Linked DNA regions of Astyanax mexicanus. The protein of the gene in region 1 purifies or fractionates together with the protein of each later gene. This does not show direct contact. Links are inferred from orthologs where the notes say so. Each region holds a gene or a part of one and is shown on either strand. Other genes may lie near its edges.

Region 1 (9,942 bases):
TAGTGTAAAGGTAGTTTAAAGTATTGTTAATATGTTAAAGTGTAAAATATGTGTAAACAATGTGTATATATAGTATTTAAGCAAGTTCCGTAAAAGTTGTACGAGTATAAAAATTAGTTTTTCATACAAGTGTCAAAGCAGTATAAAGGTATTGGGTGATATTGAGATATTTAGAAGTGTATAAGTGTGTAAAACTTAAATGTAAAGTATTATTAAGTATTATTGTGGTGTAAAATCTCTCCTACCTTTAGCAGCCTGTTGGTTCCACAGTGCAGGAGCGTTATGGAAATGTTTGATTTTCCACAGGGCCTCCTGTGGGAGCAAGGGCACTCGGCGGAGCAGCACGGACATGCCTCACACACTCCACACACACACTCTACACACTCTTCTGACCGTGCCGGCCTGCGTCCTGTAGGCAGAAGATCTAAGGCAGCTCTTTTTAGCTCTTTTTAGACACCTGTGCTCATCTTCTTCTTTCTCTACCTCTTTATTCCTCTCTATCTGCCTTTTTTTCTTTTTATCTATATGCTGTCCTTCTTCTCAGAGCCCTTCTCCGCCTGCAGGCCTGCCCACGGCCCCTGTGACATTAGAGGGAGAGCAGGACACAGCCGGCTCACACACACACTCTCTCACACACACACACTTACACACAGAGAGACGACAACGCGAGAACTCACAGCATGACGAAGAACTGGAGCGCAGTGCCAAGAAACTCTAACATGCGCACATACAAACACACACACATACACACACACACACACAGGCGTAGGGCCTCCAGTCATACTCACAGTCACACAGTGAAAAATGATCCCTGAGCAAGTGAATCCATCTTAAATCTAATCTAAACTTTTAGTACTCCTCATTTTGAGTCTCTTAACTTAGTTTTACCCACCTTCAAGCAAAATCTGGAAATTTGACCTTACAATAACAAACTCAGATCACTGTGTCTATACTCCCCAGCGAACAGAGAACGTTATAAAAACGTTTATTATTTTTTTTGCACGTAATGTTATATTATACAGTATATTATACCACAGTTAGTTCCGAACCTGCAATGTGATTGGCCGAGGGGCTTTCTGTGAATGCCATTATCAGCCAGTAATGCACTGTAATTGAAGCTCTTCATGTATTACTGCACCACAAACAGGTAACCTAGCAACGATGCAGTGTTTTCAAGCCAGCCTGACTGTTTTATAACCAAACAGATCATATTTTCTTGTTCTTTTTAACTCAAAATCCTACATTAAACAGCGATACTGGAACTGTGGTATAATCGCAATAATATACTTGTTTAATACAGGCGCGACTGCAGCACAGCAGGGCCAATTTTACACATTATAGCACGAACCTCTAGCGTATGATTGCTTTAATATGTTCCAGGAATGTTCTGAGAACATTCCATGGGGGGGTGTTGGGGGCATAATTTTTTTTATGAATTAGATGCAATTTACACCATTCTGGTGTTAAAAATACACATAATTTTACTTATAAAAGAGACTTAAATGAATGACTATTTTACAGACAGATTCAACAATTCAACAAGTCCTCATTTCTCTAGTCCATATATTTACCAGCCTGTTGCTAATACACGATTACTGGGAATAACTAGGAATAACATTGTTCCGTAAATAAGTCAAAGTTTACTCCTAATATTCAATTGTTTTATTGAACGTTCATTTAACAGGCTCCGAGTGGTGCTTCGAAATCCCGATCATGTAGCTTGCCATCAGCTGCCAGAGTCCAAGATAGCTCAATTGGCCTTGCTCTCTCTGGGTGCGTAGATGGCACTCTTAGGGTGATGTTGATCAGCACAAGGCGCTTTTCTCGGAGTGTTAGCGCTGTGATGCTACTAGACAATGCTACATCAGCAGCAGTTCAGTTCAGTTCACCCTTCTGGTGTTGGGGCATTACTAGTGATAGAGGGAATATAGCTAAAAAGTTGAAAAAATAAAACAGCTAAACATGGAAAAAAAAAGAAAAAAGAACATGGGCATATAACCCAAAAAAAATAGGTTTTAGTAAAAATTGGACATTGTGAGATGGTAATGGGGCTGATTTCACCTCCTCCTGCTTTCAGTGGTATGTGTATTCTCCTATCGATCGTGTGGAATGGATTCTTTCCAATAATTTTACTTAAATTTTCTCCTGTTTTTCTCCCAATTTAGCTAGGCCAATTTTCCCACACATTCAGCTGTATATCCCCCCCATCACTGATGATGCCACAACACAAGGAGGGTAAAAAACCAGCACACGCCTCTTTCGACACATGCAAAATCAGACTCCGTCTTTTTTTAACTGCTGCTGATCCAGCATTGTTGAGTAGCATCATAGCACACTCGGAAGAAAGCGCAGCGACTCGGTTCTGATACATCAGCTCACAGAGGCCTTGTGCTGATCAACATCACCCTTTAAAGTGATGTGGGGAGAGAATGCTATCTACTTACCCAGAGCAAGCAAGGTCAACTGTGCTCTCAGAGCTCCGGCAGCTGATGGCAAGCTGGATTTGAACCAGCAATCTTCCAATCATATTGGCAGCACTTTAGAGTGCTGGAACACTCTGTGCCCATTTGGTTACATTTTTAATTACTTTTTTTATGTAGAGAGTTTTTATTCTTGTTCTTCCTTTAAGTCCTGTGTGTGTGTGTGATTTTATATTTATATGTTACCTGGCGATTAGAATAGATAGCATTATGCAGTGCAGATATGTCATTTGTATTACAACTTAAATATTCACATCAAGTTTAAAAATATACATTTAACATTTAAAGAATTTTAACATTACATATTTTAACTGGATGGTGGATGAAAAAAGAAATAACTATTATTTTTTTTTTACTGTACAACAGTACATATGATAAACATAAATCTTTGATTTCTATACATAAAAAGTAATTTATTAAAATTAGTTAAGTTCTTTACTTAATTCATGTTTGTAAAGAAAAAAAATATTAAATTACACATTTAACTAATGCTAGTATAGAAATAGTATATGTTAATACTCAAAAGGGAAAAATATGTTTTCATTGTGTTTTTAATACTATGGATTTTACTGTGTGACATCACAAACACACTCTATTCCAAAGGTGATGCTTTTGTAGATTAGTTATATATAGTTATATATCATACTCATTGTAGAATACTCTTTAATTATCTTTTTTTTCATTTATCTATGATATGAGCCCTTTAATGCTCTTTATACAACGCTCTCTCTCTCTCTCTCTCTCTCTTTCTCTCTCTCTCTCAATCACTCACACACACACACACACACGGTCTGAGAAACTGCAGGGCACGCTCCATAAAAGGATTGGTTGATTTTTCCACTCGTATTGCTCACAGGCTCCTCTGGAAGAGGGAAACACACAGAGATGGGTGGTGTATTATCAGAATACTGGTGTGTAATAGAAACACTGTCCTTGCTTTCTCCTTCTCCACAGTTTCAGCATGGCCCTCTATCTCTGCTATAAATAGCAGATCACGTGATAAAAAGCTTATGAACCTTATCTACATCCTCAACAGTGTTTATAGACTTTTACCACTGCCTGAGCGACACAACAGTTCCATTCTGTTACTGTATGCTGTGGTTACGTTCCCTTATGTTCTATAAAACTAAACTAAAAAAACACATTTTGTCAAATTGACTACAACCAACCATATATGGATGAGATTCAGACCAGAAGAAAATATAAATGACAGAGACCACGTACAAAGTAATCTGATCACACTGACCATTTCACATATCAACTTTATTTGACTTTATCTGACGTAAAAACTGCAAAGAACTTCTTGCAAAGTGTCTTATGACGGAACCAACAGCACAAAAACACCACATGATCAATCAATAATAGTATGATCAACTAGAAAAGTGGATGATTGTACAGTTAAAATGTCTCCAACTGGCCCAGGGTGTAAATGGAAACCAGTACAGCTTAGGTGCTGCTTCACTAAACTGAAGTCTTATAATCCTTACAGTGTCTCACTTCCTTACTGTAATGTCTACAACACATTAAATATAAAACCATTACTAATGTATAAACATCAGCTAATGTAGCACTTATATACCACACAATAACCTTTATACATATAAATAATATATTATCCACAGTTAATCCTGCAAAAACACACAGACACAATGCTATCAGATGCTATCTTTAATCAGCTTTCTTACCATTACATTTTAATTTATATTCTATAGGATCTCTCCCACAGGAATCATGTATTATTTCATTCTAAATAAATATAAAATAACAATGTAAAAACCCTGTAGAGAAGACTTTTGTTCCTCATCTCATCCACATATTTTGACTCTGGGACTACAATATTAAATGTTAAGGGGAGATATGTAGGAATGCATTTATATAGCTCGGCTAAAGCCATTTAAAAGGCTTGGCTACTGTTAATTTTTAAAGTAGCATAGTAAAAAGATTAGAAAATAAGTCTTACCTTTAAAAAATTGTAATAAACCAGTTTACTGTTCATCTGCTCAACTGCTCATCTGCGTAACTAATGTTAATTCTTCACTAGGTCTAACTCACTGCAGCGTATAAAGCTTTTAGTTTCTTGTTCACATTTCCATTCCACCTTAAAACACATTTCCATTCCACCTTAACAGTTTCCCTGCATTAAAACACATTTTCTCTACGTTAAAACACAGTTTCCTCTTTAGACTGTAGTAGATAATAAAGTGTTTTAAAAGTTTTACACATTTCTGCTCAGGTTGTGCAGAAATCACAGAAAAACAGTTCAAATAAAACAGAACGTGGATTCCCATTTGAATCTTCGGTTCTACCTTAAAAACGCCTGAAGCCTGAGTGCCGCTACAGCAGCATTTAAGGCGGAATGGTAAATTGGCAGCATTTAAGGTGGGATAGTAAATTCATGTGAGTTATTTCTGTAAGGAAAAGTGTGTTTAAAGTGCTTATTTATAAAAAGATAAGTAGATAGAAGCTACTTACTTGTAATGCTGTATCTCGAGCAGCTTGTGTACCTTAACCTAGACACAATTAGCCACATGACAAATAATGAGGCAGCAGCAGGTAAAGAAGAGGAATGATTATTATTAAGATGGAATGGTATGATCCACTTTAGGGGAGATTGAAATCGTATCACAATATTCTTCCAGGCACAGATACATTGTTTTTGTAGTTTTTAACTTTATATGTTTGAAGTATATTTAAATGTTTTGACCAAACTATTGTTTTATCCCTTAAGGGGGTTTGAAGTCTTAATTGGGGGATCTGGGATAATTTTGGTCTTAAAGATAAATTGGTCAGTGTAAAGTTTAGCAGTTTAATTTCTGTGACTGCATCAAGCAAAATTCGAAAATAGAAAATTGGTAATAGAACTTAATCATTATTTTTTTTATATTCAGTAGAATGAAGAAGAAATGGTTATTCATCCAATTTGTCATTTATATAAATTTTTATTTCAACCTTTGGCAAACAGAATGAAAAAGTGAATCTTCTCTCAATTTTCAGAGTTGTAAATTGTGTACCTTGCAACACAAATCTTAAGGTATAATAATAATCCTTGCAAAATGCAAAAATGGAAAAATGAGGAAAAATATATATTCTTTGTTCTTTTTTTCCCTAAAAATACATTTGTAAGGTGCAGAGATGAAAAAATAAATTGGAAAAATGGATGAAAACTTATTTCTTGTACACTGCACTACATAAAAAAAGAAATAATGATTTTTTTTTACATACAATTTTCTATTTTTGCATTTAGCCTTAAACAGTCAGAAAAGGAGTCGTTATAATGACCCTGATTGACCAGCAGATGCCACTGTAATAAAGGAGTGATTCGAACGACTCACTAGATCGAATCTTTTTCCGAACCAATTGATTCATTTGATTTGATTACCCAAAAGCCTCGCTTCTGCTCTCACTCCAGGCCGGTGGGGGCAGCAGTGAGTGTTTGCTCAGCGGTAGAGTAAGAGCGCGGGCTCCATGCTTTCCCTACAGGACAGGTAAACACAGCAGCATGTCGCGGAGTGAAGCCGCGCGGGGCGGCTGAAGGTAAGATTAATTATCATCACTGGATCAGTGGGATATAGTCAGGGTGTTTATACGGAGCGCGTGGCCGGAGCTGTGTGTGTAGTGTATTGGAGGTCGCGCTCTAATTAGAAATCAGCTGTCTAACTAGGGCCCCTCTCTAGTGCACAGTGTCACTTTCTCCACTTTATAACCCACACTGTTAGGAGTATATATATATATATATAAATATATATAATATAAAACATTAAGTCTTTAAATTAATGCTTTGATTACTGTTGCTTTTACTTTGTCCCACAAAAGTACATAATATATGACGAAATCAGACTTAATTATTAGAAAAACAGCTGAAGTATTTAAATTATAGACCTTAAAAGATATAAGATATACACCGGCGCCGAGTGGTCCAGCGGTCTAAAGCGCTGCCACTATGAGCAGGAGGTCGCCGGTTCGAACCCCAGCTCATGCAGCTTTGCCATCAAGCTGCTGGCGTTAGAGGGAGCTCCCTCCGGGTGGGTAGATGGCGCTCTTTCCCCACATCACTCCTATGGTGATGTCTGCAGCACAGGGCGTCTGTGAGCTGATGTACCAGAACCGAGCCGCTGTGCTTTCCTCCAAGCGTGCTGGCTACTCGGCAATGCTGCATCAGCAGCAGCTCGAAAAGAAGCGGTGGCTGACTTCACATGTATCTGAGGAAGCATGTGTTAGTCTTCACCCTCCTGGTGTGTTGAGGTATCGCTAGTGATAGGGGAAGTCCCTAATGAATGGGTTGGGTAATTGGCTGTGTAAATTGGGGAGCAAATGGGAAAAAATAGAAAAAAAAAAAAAAAAGGATATACACCAACAACTTTAACACGGCTTACTTAAAACTAGGTATTTTAAATAGTTCCGTAAACACTATAAATGGACCTAAAACACCTAATATTTAAGTATTTAAAAAGATTCCCAGATTTCTCATATGCTCTATTGCACAAGTTAGACACAGTAATTGGTGTTTGCTGCTTAGATGCTGTTCTCATTTTTCTCCAGGTAGGACACAGCGAGACAAGCATTTGACTCCACAGAGCTGTACACTGACTACTTTACACTGTATCAAAGTGTCATATATTTAGTGTTATAATAAAATATTTACAAATGTGTGAGGGCTGTGCTCACTTTTGTGGGATACTGTACCTGCTTCTAATGTTCACACAGACAGAACGTGCACTTCTTTATCTAACAGCTCAAAGCAATCTGATGGTTTTACATAACTCAAAGAGCCAATCAGAACGTTTGAAAATATCTTCACTCTGCTCAGCAAAGAATGGACAAAGACCAAATATCTGGGGGGGCCTTACAAAACAATTTTGTAACTATTTGAATTCTGACATGGTAAGAACATCTTAAATGCATCATGTGTTTGTGTTTTAAGTATGCTGTGTGAATTGTATCTGCTCTGAATAATATGACCCTTCTGTGACCTGTTGTGTGTTATGTTCTAGGTCTTATGGATGCTGTTGTAACCCCCCAGATCCAGAAGATGCCTCCTGTGGAAGACGGAGATCTGGTGGTGTTGCCGCCAGACTCTGTGGACGCTGGCACTCAGAGATGTCGTCTGGGTCCTGCAGTGATGGAGGAGCTGGGGCTGAAGCTGGGTTCTCCGCTTCTCATCCTGCTGCCCCGGGGGTCCTGCCTCTGCACCGCATGGCCTCGGAGTGACCTCGCTAATGGATACCTGCAGTTCCAAACCACCTGCGCTGGAGTAAACCTCATCAACTATGATGCAATGAAGCTCAGCACCCAACCAACGCCTCAGTCTGAAAACAGCTACGCTGGATTCAATATCAATTTAATGAAACTCCAGTGCCTCCAGAGGATGAAAATTAAGCCACTAACCTGCCCACGTCTTAAGCGCTTGTCTGTGAAGGTTCTGGTGCAGAGTTCTGAAACTGAGCCCATCCAGTACATTCAGGAGCTCGCAAAGGAGCTACTGATGGGTCTGTATGTGCACGAGAAGCACTTGGTGAGTGTTGCGAGAGCTGGGACTCAGATTCAGTTCATAGAGGTGGAGAAGGTGAACTCTGGCTCGCAAAAAGCTGGACTGGTCACTGCCGAGACCCGCCTGGACTTGAGCTCGGTTCAGACAGTTCAGAAGTACAGACAGGCTTTGAGAAAGACTCCTTCTGTGCCCTTGGGCGGAGTCGAGGAGGTGCTTTCTTCTCTAAAAGAGATGCTAACGGTTCCGCTGCACTATCCAGGCAGCTTAAAGCGTCTAGGCCTGCCCTGTCCACGGGGGGCGCTGTTGGTGGGGCCGCCAGGGGTGGGAAAGACCCAGCTGGTCCGAAATGTGGTGCAGAAAGTCGGAGCAGCGCTGGTGACCATAAACGGCCCTGTGGTGGTGGGGTCACGCCCTGGAGAGAGCGAAGAGAACCTGCGCAGGGCGTTCGACCGTGCTCGGGCGGCGGCGCTGGACGGTCCATGTGTTTTGTTTATTGATGAGATCGATGCTCTCTGTCCGAGGAGGAGTGAATCTGGCAGCACTCCAGAAAATCGTATCGTAGCTCAGCTGCTGACGCTCATGGATGGGATCGGCAGCGATGAAAGTTTCATCATCATCGCAGCGACCAATCAGCCTGACACACTGGACCCGGCCCTCAGGAGACCTGGCCGGTTCGACAGAGAGGTAAAGTTCATAATTTTAAAAATAAAATTTCTTTTTAACACATGGATGCATGAAGTGTTGTCTAATTAAATCCATTTAAATTGTACTTGAATGTTGTGTGGTTCGCATCAGACAACTATTTTCGCTAAATTTGCGCTGTCATCTCTACACTACTAATAGATTAAAGCTTCCCATTGCAACAATTCTCAAACTTTTTCATTCTTAAACTGTGGCCCCTAGCCACCCACTTTACCTCCAGTAAAAAACACAAGTTAGAACAGGTCTATGGCCAAAACAAAACAAGTTCATGAAGTTCTTTGCACAAATTCACTCTAGCATAAAGGCATCCCACCACCTCTGTTCTTACCAGTTTCAGTCCCTTTTAGAGTGAGCCGTTTAAGGGCTCCGTCACTTGCAATAAATCCATAAAAGCTTTTGCCTCTGATGCATAGCTGTACTTCCATCTTCCTACTGACTTGCTACGGAGAGTAGATACAGATCCCTTCTTCAGAAGAAGTCTGATCTCTAATCCTGATGTGTACGAGGATCTTAAGTAGCCCTAGACAATATTTTGATATCGGTATTCATCACGATAAGAAATGTTTTAATAACGGTGATATCATTTTTGTGGCGTATCGATATGTGTTATTTTCAGAATCTTTCACAGACAGGCGTTTTTTTTGAGGTGTCAGTTCACTGCAGAGCTGAACACAAACAGCCTACGTAGCCGGGCTACGTCAGTGCATAATGACGTAATCATACAGGCACGTGGCTAGGCTAGGCTAGGCCTGGGTCGGCTCCACTCCACTCCGCATTGCTAAATGTCCCGCGATGAAGCTCGGCTGCGCTCCCCATCTAAAACCTCCCGCGATGAAGCAAAACCGACCCTAGCTGAGCGGATCTCGGCTGTGCTCCGCTCCGCACCTAAAATCTCCCGTATTGAAGAGAAACCAACCCTAACCAAACGGATCTCGGCCGCGCTCCGCTCCGCACCGCACCTAAAACCCACCCGCGATGAAGCGAAACCGACCCTAACCGAGCGGATCTCAGCTCCGCTCCGCACCTAGAATGTCCCGCGATGAAGCTCGACTGCGCTCCGGTCCGGTCTGTTCCACCACTTCAAGCACTACACACAATATCTGAAGCACTTTTGTAGTTTATGTTGTATCTAAGTTATTTATAGTTGATATAGGTTTGTTTATTTGACAGGGATATCATGTTCTCTTTATGTATATGAAGGCTTTTTGTATTCCCTATCCTGGTTGAAGCACTTTTGTTTTGATCTGTTAAATATGTTTACAAAAAAATAAG
Region 2 (9,862 bases), on another chromosome or scaffold:
GACAGCGGCTGAATAGTAAAGTCAAAATGACTCTGGCGCCCTCTGGGGGCAGACTCTAGTGCAACTTTAACTCCACCATTTCTTACCTAATATTTTAGGTTTCCATTATCAAGTACATTATTTATTAGATTTTTTTTGCAATCGTGTTTTTTTAAACATTACTTATTCTCACACTATTTCTCTTTATTATGAAAGTAAACTAAACTGCTTCATCCCAGATTTGATCATCATGCAATAATACACCAATCAAAAAATTCATTGGGTGGACAACGGTGTCTTCAACATTCAACATGCATTTAGTCTCAAGTCTGGAAATTTTCCTTTCTAGATATTTGCACAGCTCTGCACAGCCCTGCATACATACCCAATGCATAATTAAGAAATTACACCATTTCCTGCTGTTAGATCATTTGTGCACAGCTTTACAATTATGAACAAACAAGACACAAATGATATCACACAATGTTTTATTTACAGCTTTAAGGTACTGGTTTCTCAAATCATATCTCAGACGTGACCTGTAACATGAAAATAAAAAATTAAAAGACAAAAGATTTGGGTAATTCTTACATTCTTGAATATTTATTTATTCCATAAATAGAATAACAGATAACAGTTGTAGCAGGCAGGGTTAAAGCTGCAAATGTGATTAATTAAAAAAAAAACACATTTAATGCTTAAACAAGTTAAAACAAATAGAGTGTAAATAAACTATAAGCTCTGACCTTTAAGATGCACTATGTCTTGTTGAAATAATGTTTACTAGTATTTTTTAATAACCCTCTAATGGTCAAACTCCTGATAAAAAAATATTGAGTAAAGTGTAAATTTACCAACAGAGGAAGAGGGTCTACATTCCAAATCTACGTCTCCTGTCTGCTGTTGGCCACATCATAGATGAGGGCTGTAATAGAGCAGTAAAGATAAGGTTAAGCAGATTCACTTCTCTAAAATATTGAGAAAAGAAACATAAAGGTTTACTCCAGCATAAGCTGGAGAACTGATTATGTTTTGACGAGTTTTAAATATTGCACAACACTGCAACACAGTGTACACAGAGAAGCACAACAGAACATTGGTAAACAGTGTAAGGTGTAGGGACCCACTTGGAAGCTCATTCTCTATGCTAATTCTTAACTTTTACAGTGTAAAAATACAAAGTGTCTATGTATAAAGGAAAACACAAAATTCTAAACTCACTGTCAAGCATTGTAAGCACAATCTCTCGTTTCTTCAAAGCACTGTCCACTTCTGCCATCAGCCAGGGGAGGAATCCTGTCTCTATATCTGAGATACAATGGAAAGAATATATTAAAATAAAGAACATAGACTGATTTAATAGATGTTTAACTGTGTAATCTTCAAATGCCGTATTTTAAAAGGATATGAAGCACCTCTCTGCACTGGGTCGTAGAAATAGCCCTGGTCTCTCAGAGTGTTGTAGACGGAGGGCAGCAGGTCAGCCAGGTATTGCTGAGCAAATACTCTAGCTGCTATTTTCTCTGCTATTACTCTCTCATTCTCCAAGACTTCTCTCTGCTGCTTAAGTCTGCGTACCTACATCAGGAAAGCAACACACAAGTCTGAAGAGCTGAAGGGATATTATGGCCATATTGTGCCAATTTATGTTTTTTGATTTTCTATTTATGGCCTCCTGGGGCATCACACAGGCAACAAAATCATCCATGGGAACAAACCTGTAGTACTGGTTAGTATTATGAACACATAAAAAAAAGAATAGAGCAATGAATAAATAAAATTAATTAGCAAAACTGTAGATCTTGGCTTACTAGGAAGATACTAGATCATAAAAGCTCATAATTCAGGTGAGGTTACCTTCTCCTCTCGGTGGCGCCTCTCCTGTTCCTCCAGTCGCTGTACCTCCACAATTTCAGCATTACGCAGCTCCTGGAAGGCACGCTGTTGAGCCCTCAGGGATGCCAGCTCTTCCTCTTCCAGAACTTCCAACAGAGCCTGTTCCATGGTCTTTCCTATCAGCACCTCTAACACAGGCTGCACCTCTGTGTCAAAGTAAAACAGCTGTAAAAAGAATGGAAAGATTTAGACTAATGAAGAGTAAGAATAAAGCTACACACTAAGAAATGTAAGTACTGATTTGTACTTAAAAGAGTACAAAGCTTGTCGCTGGGGCTGTACCTTATATTGAGGTACAAAAAAGTACCTTTCAGTAAAAGTCCTTTTTTGTACCCATGGTTTTTGTGCCAGTAAAGATTATAAAGATTATAAACATTATCATCAACTAAATATGGCTCAGAAACTTGATGATCCAAAATTGTCTGGCTTTCAAATAAAAAATGTGCAAATAAAATATATATTGTTTATTAGTACAGTGATACAGAATACTGAATGTACCTTTTTTCTGGTTAAATGGTAAAAAATTGTACTTATTGCTGTTAGGAATGACTTTGTACTTCAGAGGGAACAAATCTGACCCTGTAAAGAGCAATATTGTACCTTTAAAGGTATGATTATGAAGAGTGTACCTTTGAGTACAAAAAAGTACTCATATTGTACCTCTGTTTTTTAGAGTGTATGTAATTCTTTCTAAAAAAAGTCTCAGAGGCCTTTAGTACACTGTAGATTATTTAGTAGTCTCTACCCCAGTACCTGAAAGGAGTACACAAATAACATGACTGCTATGCTAGGCTCTGGTAATGTTAAATACATTTTAAAAAACAATAAATGTGTTCGGTCTGTACCTCTCCTTCCTCTATTTGTGTGGCTACATCTTTTCCAGACTTGGCAGGGATAAAGAGAGGAGTGGCTGGTTTGTCTAGGAATGCATCAGTCTGACATCCCACACTGGCATCTTCAGGATGATCACTCAGCTCCTCCAAGTACAGCTCTAAGCCACAAATCAAATATAGATTACAATTATTTTTTAAATACTTTTTGACTCATTGACTGTACAAAACATTAAGGCTTTAGGTCCATTCCCTTTCATTCTATAACCAGTTTGCCTTGTAAGTAAAATGTTTCACCAGTAAAAGTGCTGTTATTGTCATTTCTACTGCAGCTCAGCTACTCCATTGAGTCGAAAATTAATGTACAGCGAAAGGGTGTAATGTTGATGACTAACCTCTTCCTGCCAATATTAACAAGAAGCAGCAGCACCACAGTAATCGTCTCTTTCTAAAACACATAATGCTCACCAGTCTGCACATCCGTGTGTTTCCTCCCTTCAAGTGCTTCTGGGGTTAATAAGCGGAACTGCTCTTTAGCTCTCTTTCTTGCCAGGGCTCTCCTTCTGGTCTCTTGCTGTTTTTGAAGCTCAGCAGGGTCAGGCTGTGACCTCTGTTACACACAGGTTTTTAAATAGCTGATTTTAGACAAAGTGATCAAGTGACACCTTATGTAGCTATATTGTACAGCAGATAAATAATGTCACTTACAAGTGGCAGAGTGTGTTGTGCATAGGTATTTCCTCTGACAACACGCCGATCGTACATAATGTTTCCATATACATATAATTCTTCATTTCTGCATACAATAAAAAAAAAAAAAAAAAAAAAAATATATATATATATATATACACAATTAGTTATACAAACTTATGTCACTTATTAATAAATTATAAAAAAGCTATTTCACTAAAACATTAATTTCTACTACACATTCTTATTTAAAAGATTATCAATGAACTGTTTATTATTATTATTATTATTATTATTTGATCCACAACCCACTTTGATTGAAGTATTTCTATATAATTATTTACTGAATGGTAAAATATTATTAAGTTAGCAAGTCAGTTGACTTTTTAGCTACATTTTATTATTATTACATTAGATACACTATTAGACAAAGTAAAAAAGAGCGAAAGATAGAAAAACAATAAGTGAATGTTGGTCAAATATAGTTAACCATATAATAAACTCTCATAGTTGACTCTAGTAAAATGCAGTACAGATATTTCAGTCAGATTTTACTTTAGCAAATAAAGTCACGGTTGGCTGGTTTTACTCTGCTGTAAATAGTTAAGTTATGTCAGGTGAATTAATAGTTTATGTCTTACTGAATCACCGCAGGGTCCTTGTATTTGAGGCGCGTTGGAGCAGGCCGTGGTCGACTAGAGAACACATACGCTCCGTTTGGATCCTGGTTGTAGGGCTGTAACGCCGAAGCCATTCTTGTTCAGTAAAATATCTGTTAAAATATAATATTTAATGATAATATAAATAAAAAGACGCAGCTGAGTAAACCATGTAAGAAACCTCTGCTGCTGCTGTTGTTAGTGGTGGTTTCTAGGCAACAGTGACCGCTACAGGTTAGTGACCTGTCGTTCGCGAAAGATCCGGCTGTAAGAGCCGACTCGATTGGAACCGGCTCCACAATGGGAGCCGTTTTAGGATCCTTTTTGGGAGTCGTTTTTTCCTTCAGTATCTCGCTGTCTCTCCGCCTCCCTGTCGTGTCACAGAGCCGACAGTTTTTGTCCTTCGGTGTCTCGCTGTCCATCCATAATGAAACAAAATGTTATAAAATTAGGTTAGGCTATTAATTAATTAATATGTAAATATTATGTAAAAATATGTAAAAAATATATATGGGGAGCTGAAAGAGCCGGCTCATCTCAAAATAGAGCCGGAGATCCCATCACTACTACAGGTGAGAACCTGGGTTATACCGCCCTCTGCTGTTTATATAAAATACTGTTCTTATAGAGACACTGGAGTTACAATTGTAGTAATATTTGTATTTCTTTGCGAACATATTTTTAGTTCTAAAGGACAGAAAATGCGATATGTTCGGTTATAAACACTTCGCGAGTGGTGTTTATAAATAGTTCCATTGCTGCTTTGTTTGTAGCTGCGCTGTTTAACTGGTAAGCGCTGCATCATTGCTAATGTTACCTGTATGTGGCGGAGTAATACACTCACAGAACGCCTCCCAGCCAATCACATTGCAGGGTCGGAACAAACTGTGGTATAATGTACAATAAGTCACTATCGTAATTTCCATGACAGCACAGACAGTGTTTAACAAACTGTTATCATACTTTTACTGAAATTTTTAATTCCCTTAAACTCAGAACTCATAAACAAGCCTGAAAACAATATGTATGCCAGGTATGTATGTATTAATCAAATGTTCAAAGGTTTATTTTTTCTCCCTATTTCTTTGTCATACCTTGTAATGATGTGTGCAGCATGTATTGTAAGTGTTTCCTGTGGAAGATTTGTTCCAGTTTTTACGCGTAGAACAAAAAACACGTAGCTAATATATTGTCGTCTGAACAAAAACTTGTATGTCAAAAAGTTATGCTTTAATAAAAATTTCATTAATAATTTGTGCATTTTAATGGTTAATGCATGAGTACATTTTGTCATGAATACAGTCAGATACAGTACCAGATCTCCCTTCTTAGTTAATGTTTTTTTTCTTTATTTTTATTACTTTCTACATTTTAGACAGAGGTGTCAAGTAACTAAGTACAAATGCTTACCTTACCTAAGAATAAATATTGGTTAGCTATACTTTACTGGAGTAATAATTCTTCACACAATTATCTGTACACCTACTCCTCACATTTTCACAAAGTTATCTGTTAAAATCGCCTCGTTACTCCTCTTCCATTATTCTTACATTACATTACATACTAAATCCCAGTGTTACCTTAAAGAAGGAGCATTTAAAATAATGTTTTAGCTGAATCTGTGACTTAATAATTCGTCCTTATAAGAAAGTGACCCAGTCTGCTGCTGCAAAAAAGAAAGAAAGAAACTTCATTTCCCATAAACCCTCTGTCTGCGGAAGCAGTGTAAGCAGTTCCTCCGGTGCATCTGAAGGGCATTAGGGGAAACAGTCCATGTGAGAGCCTCACGGAGGGAGTAAAGCCGGATACAGGGCAGTTTTAGCGAATTAGGGTTTATTAATAAACACAGAAATATGGACAGCTTCGGTTCAGATTACTCCTCCGCGGCGGGGTCCGGGAAAATGGACACGGGCACTATAATGGAGCAGGTGAAGGTGCAGATAGCGGTGGCGAACGCTCAGGAGCTCCTGCAGGTAACAGCACAGATCACACGCTCAGGCTAAATAACCCAGCACTAGCCTAGCCTAGCTGCTCATTACAATCTCCACATTACAGATTAAATACAGCTAGTTACCCACAAAACAACTGCATCAGATAAGGTGGAACCAAACAGCCAATTGGGAAACAAACATATTAATCAAAGAGTAATGAGTCATTCATAGTCATTCATTACTGAAACCTCTGTTTCTCCTGAGCTGCTGTGCTCTAAATAATCCAGCAGTTAAAGGGGACATTCAAAACTCATTGAAACAGTACAGTAATGTAGTATACAGCTCTGGAAAAAGAATTAAGAGACCACTTCATTTTCTGAATCAGTTTCTCTGATTTTGCTATTTATAGGTAGATGTTTGAGTAAAATAAACATTGTTGCTTTATTCTATAAACTACAGACATTTCTCCCCAATTCCAAATAAAAATATTGTCATTAAGAGCATTTTTTTTGCATAAAATGAGAAGTGGCTGAAATAACAAAATATGCAGAGCTTTCTGACCTCAAATAATGAAAAGAAAAGTTTATATTCATAAAGTTTTAAGAGTTCAGAAATCAATATTTGGCGGAAAACCCTGTTTTTTAACACAGTTTTCATGCATCTTGTCATGTTTTCCTCCACCAGTCTTACACACTGCTTTTGAATAACTTTATGCCACCCCTGGTGCAAAAATTCAAGCAGTTCAGCTTGGTTTGATGGTTATGATCATCCATATTCCACTTGATTATGTTCCAGAGGTTTTCAATTTGGGCAAATCATAGAAACTCTTAAGCGGTAAATTTTATTTGTAAAGGAATACACTAACTAGGGGTGTGCCATATCGTAACATATATAATAATATCTCCATAATATTTGAATATCGTAAACAATATTATATTCTGCTGCTTTTAGCCAAAAAAAATAAATCTAATTTCTCGTTTCCCATTATAGCTACTAGAGATGAATTATATCTGATTTATTTTACTTCAGTCCTATATATATTTGGAGTGCAGTAGAAGTATCATCACTTCTTACCCACAAAGGGTTGGTTTTCAGGTTTTCATTCTAAAAAATAGCTGTAGACCTGATTCTATTTGTTATTAATTGGGCCTGTCTTTAAACAGATGACAGACATGCTGTGTTTCTGCTTGGCTGGAATAAAAACCTTCAGTGACACCAGCCCTTTTGGGGAAATAACTGGATAACTAACTTTGGTTTAAAGGTGTCCTCAGTCTGATATTGGCACACTTGTATTTGATTGTAGACCCAACCAAGGTATCGATTTGTTATGTATTATTTTCTCAGAGAATGACAGATAAGTGCTTCAAGAAGTGCATTGGCAAGCCTGGAAGCACACTGGACAATTCAGAACAGGTAGGAATCAGTTTTTCTCTTTTTTACTTGTGTATGTGTACATGCATATATGATACATTTATTCCTGCAAGGTTCACCATGACACAACAGATTTTGCATTTTTGTTTTATTGGGAAAAAGACAATTTTATTTTTCTACTTTTATGATTTCTAATTATAATAAATGCAGTCATATTATGCACTTTCACGGTCATTGACAAAAGCTGTTTTTTTTTTTATATATATAAATCAGCCATAGCATTTAAAACATTTTTTGTAATATTGTCATGCCACCAAACCAGCTCTGACCAGTCAAGGCATGGACTCCATAAGACCTCTGAAGGTGTCCTGTGGTATCTGCCACCAAGACATTAACAGCAGTCCTGTAAGTTGTGAAGTGGGCCTTCATGAGCATCAGTGAGCCTTTAGCGCCCATATCCCTGTCACCAGTTCACCGTTTCACGGTTCACTAACCTTCTTTGGAGCACCTTTTGGTAGGTACTGACAATTGCATCCTGGGTTCCCCCAATAGACCTGCCTGATGTTTTTGAGATGCTCTGACCCATTCATCTATCAGTCAGATTAGGCTTTTTTATGCTGACTCAGACCCTCATACTTGCCTTAAGTTTAAGAACTGACTATTCCCTTGCTTACTAGTGTATCCCACCCTCTTTTTCAATTTATTTACAGACGGTTTCTGAGTTTCTAAAATTGTTATTTTGTTTTTTTTTGCAGAAATGCATCGCCATGTGCATGGACCGGTATATGGATGCATGGAACACAGTCTCTCGCGCCTATAACTCTAGACTTCAGAGGGAAAGGGCGCGAATGTAATGCAGAATCCATCCAGTTGGACCTCAGTGTTAACCTGAATCCCTGGGTATAGAGGCTTGGGGTACCAGTGGATCAGCCCCGCCCCTGTAACACCCAGAACTGGAGAACCATCCAAGGAATCGGGAGATTCTGACTTTTAGACCCAAGTTATTTCCTTTTTCCCCCCCTTAGGCATGTTGAATGTGGGTGGACAGTTACACTCATGGAAGGTATTTGATTATTATATTGCTGTACAGAGGCAGAATAATCATTTCAGGTTTGGTTAAAATTGAGTTAGTATTAAGTCAGATGTTTGAGGATCAGGTTCATCTTGTGACACCTCTGCTACGTCAGAACTATATTTGTCTCAGTTAAACTGTTGTCACAGTTACTGCCTTTTGGTTCAGTAAGGCAGTGTATTGTCCTAGCCATGTCTGCACTGAAGAGTGTTGTGTAGCAGCTGTTTCCAACTGTTGGACAAGCTTTATAGAACATTGAACAGATAGAACAAATTGCATTCAGTCTATCCTGATTTCATTAAAATGTAATATGTTTTATTTTTTAAATGCACATGACCTGTCTTCTTACAACTTGGCAATGAAGCATTTTATGGTGCTCTGGAAAGCTTGGCCAGTCTGGAAACAGCTGCTATGAAACAGTAAAGCACCTGATTTAACATGAAAAAGAGTAGGAGTAAATGTTAAATAAACAAATATGTCTAAATATTCATTTTGTGCCTTGTTTAACATCTTTTAACTCTAGAAGTGGATTTCATGAGGAGAACTTGGGGACTTAAGGGATGTTTTCACATCTGATATTACAGAACAATTTTCAATTCTTCACTCTCCACCAGAATCCCACTCCCTTTTAGTGTACATGCTTTATTCCACAGAATGAGCATAACCCTACAGTAGGTATAGGAACTGCCGGTGTGTAATGTGATGTGCTGTTCTGCTGTGAGACACAAGTGCATGTGAAAGGGAGTCTAATTTCTCATGCCAATTCTTGTTCTGCTTTATGGATGAGGTGATGGTAGTTTGCCTCAACTTTCTGTAATTGGTCTGAACAAATCCAAAAAAACTTTTACTGTACAAATTCAACAAACCCCCCCCCCCCCCCCCCCCCCAAATGGTCTGGATCGTGATTCGAGGTCCCTTTCACACCTGCTATTTTTGTTCAGACCAGAAGTCTGAAAGTCTGGACCAAACAAGGTAGGTGTGACAGCATCAGAATAGCCTTAGACTACACAGCTGTTTAATTGAAAAAAGTCCAGGACTAAGCTCCAGTAACTGCTATAAAGTAGTAATAGGCCTAAATATGCCCCCCTAGGGAATTATGGGTAACAACAGGACATGTTCATTCCTCCTGTTTCGTGGTAATGGCCGTTTTCCACTGGTGAGACTGAGCCGACTCTGTTTCAGAAAGCCTGTGTGCCGTGTGTCTGTGCTTTCGTTTGTCTTGTCCTCATGTGGATGTTACACTGTCCCCCTGGGGGCACGGGATCGTATCGTTTTTCCATCCACCGCTCCACAAACCTACTTCCTTTCACAAGGGAGAATTCAGGAGCATCTCCCTTTTCCATAATTGCAGCCTCTTCACCAGGACCAGGCCAAACAGTCCTACTTTATTTACCACCACAGAACAAAATGCATTTGTGAGAACTGGATTCTCGT

The links.
Region 2: the proteins of spata5l1 (region 1) and timm13 purify together in Homo sapiens (co-immunoprecipitation; 3 studies listed by BioGRID and IntAct, with this or other methods). This does not show direct contact. The link is inferred for Astyanax mexicanus from reciprocal best matches to the Homo sapiens genes AFG2B and TIMM13.

What each region holds. Positions count from the first base shown.
Region 1 is NC_064416.1:44,363,156-44,373,097, forward strand, and holds the start of spata5l1 (spermatogenesis-associated protein 5-like protein 1), read left to right. Parts: upstream 1-5,906; 5' UTR 5,907-6,014; intron 6,015-7,471; 5' UTR 7,472-7,476; coding exon 7,477-8,652; intron 8,653-9,942. UniProt on the Homo sapiens protein: ATP-dependent chaperone part of the 55LCC heterohexameric ATPase complex which is chromatin-associated and promotes replisome proteostasis to maintain replication fork progression and genome stability.
Region 2 is NC_064423.1:26,850,003-26,859,864, reverse strand, and holds timm13 (mitochondrial import inner membrane translocase subunit Tim13), read left to right. Parts: upstream 1-5,765; 5' UTR 5,766-5,907; coding exon 5,908-6,027; intron 6,028-7,329; coding exon 7,330-7,398; intron 7,399-8,111; coding exon 8,112-8,210; 3' UTR 8,211-8,918; downstream 8,919-9,862. Other genes in the region: rsph3 (radial spoke head protein 3 homolog), read right to left, coding at 864-904, 1,201-1,287, 1,395-1,557, 1,837-2,040, 2,721-2,866, 3,174-3,315, 3,414-3,501, 4,037-4,149. UniProt on the Homo sapiens protein: Mitochondrial intermembrane chaperone that participates in the import and insertion of some multi-pass transmembrane proteins into the mitochondrial inner membrane.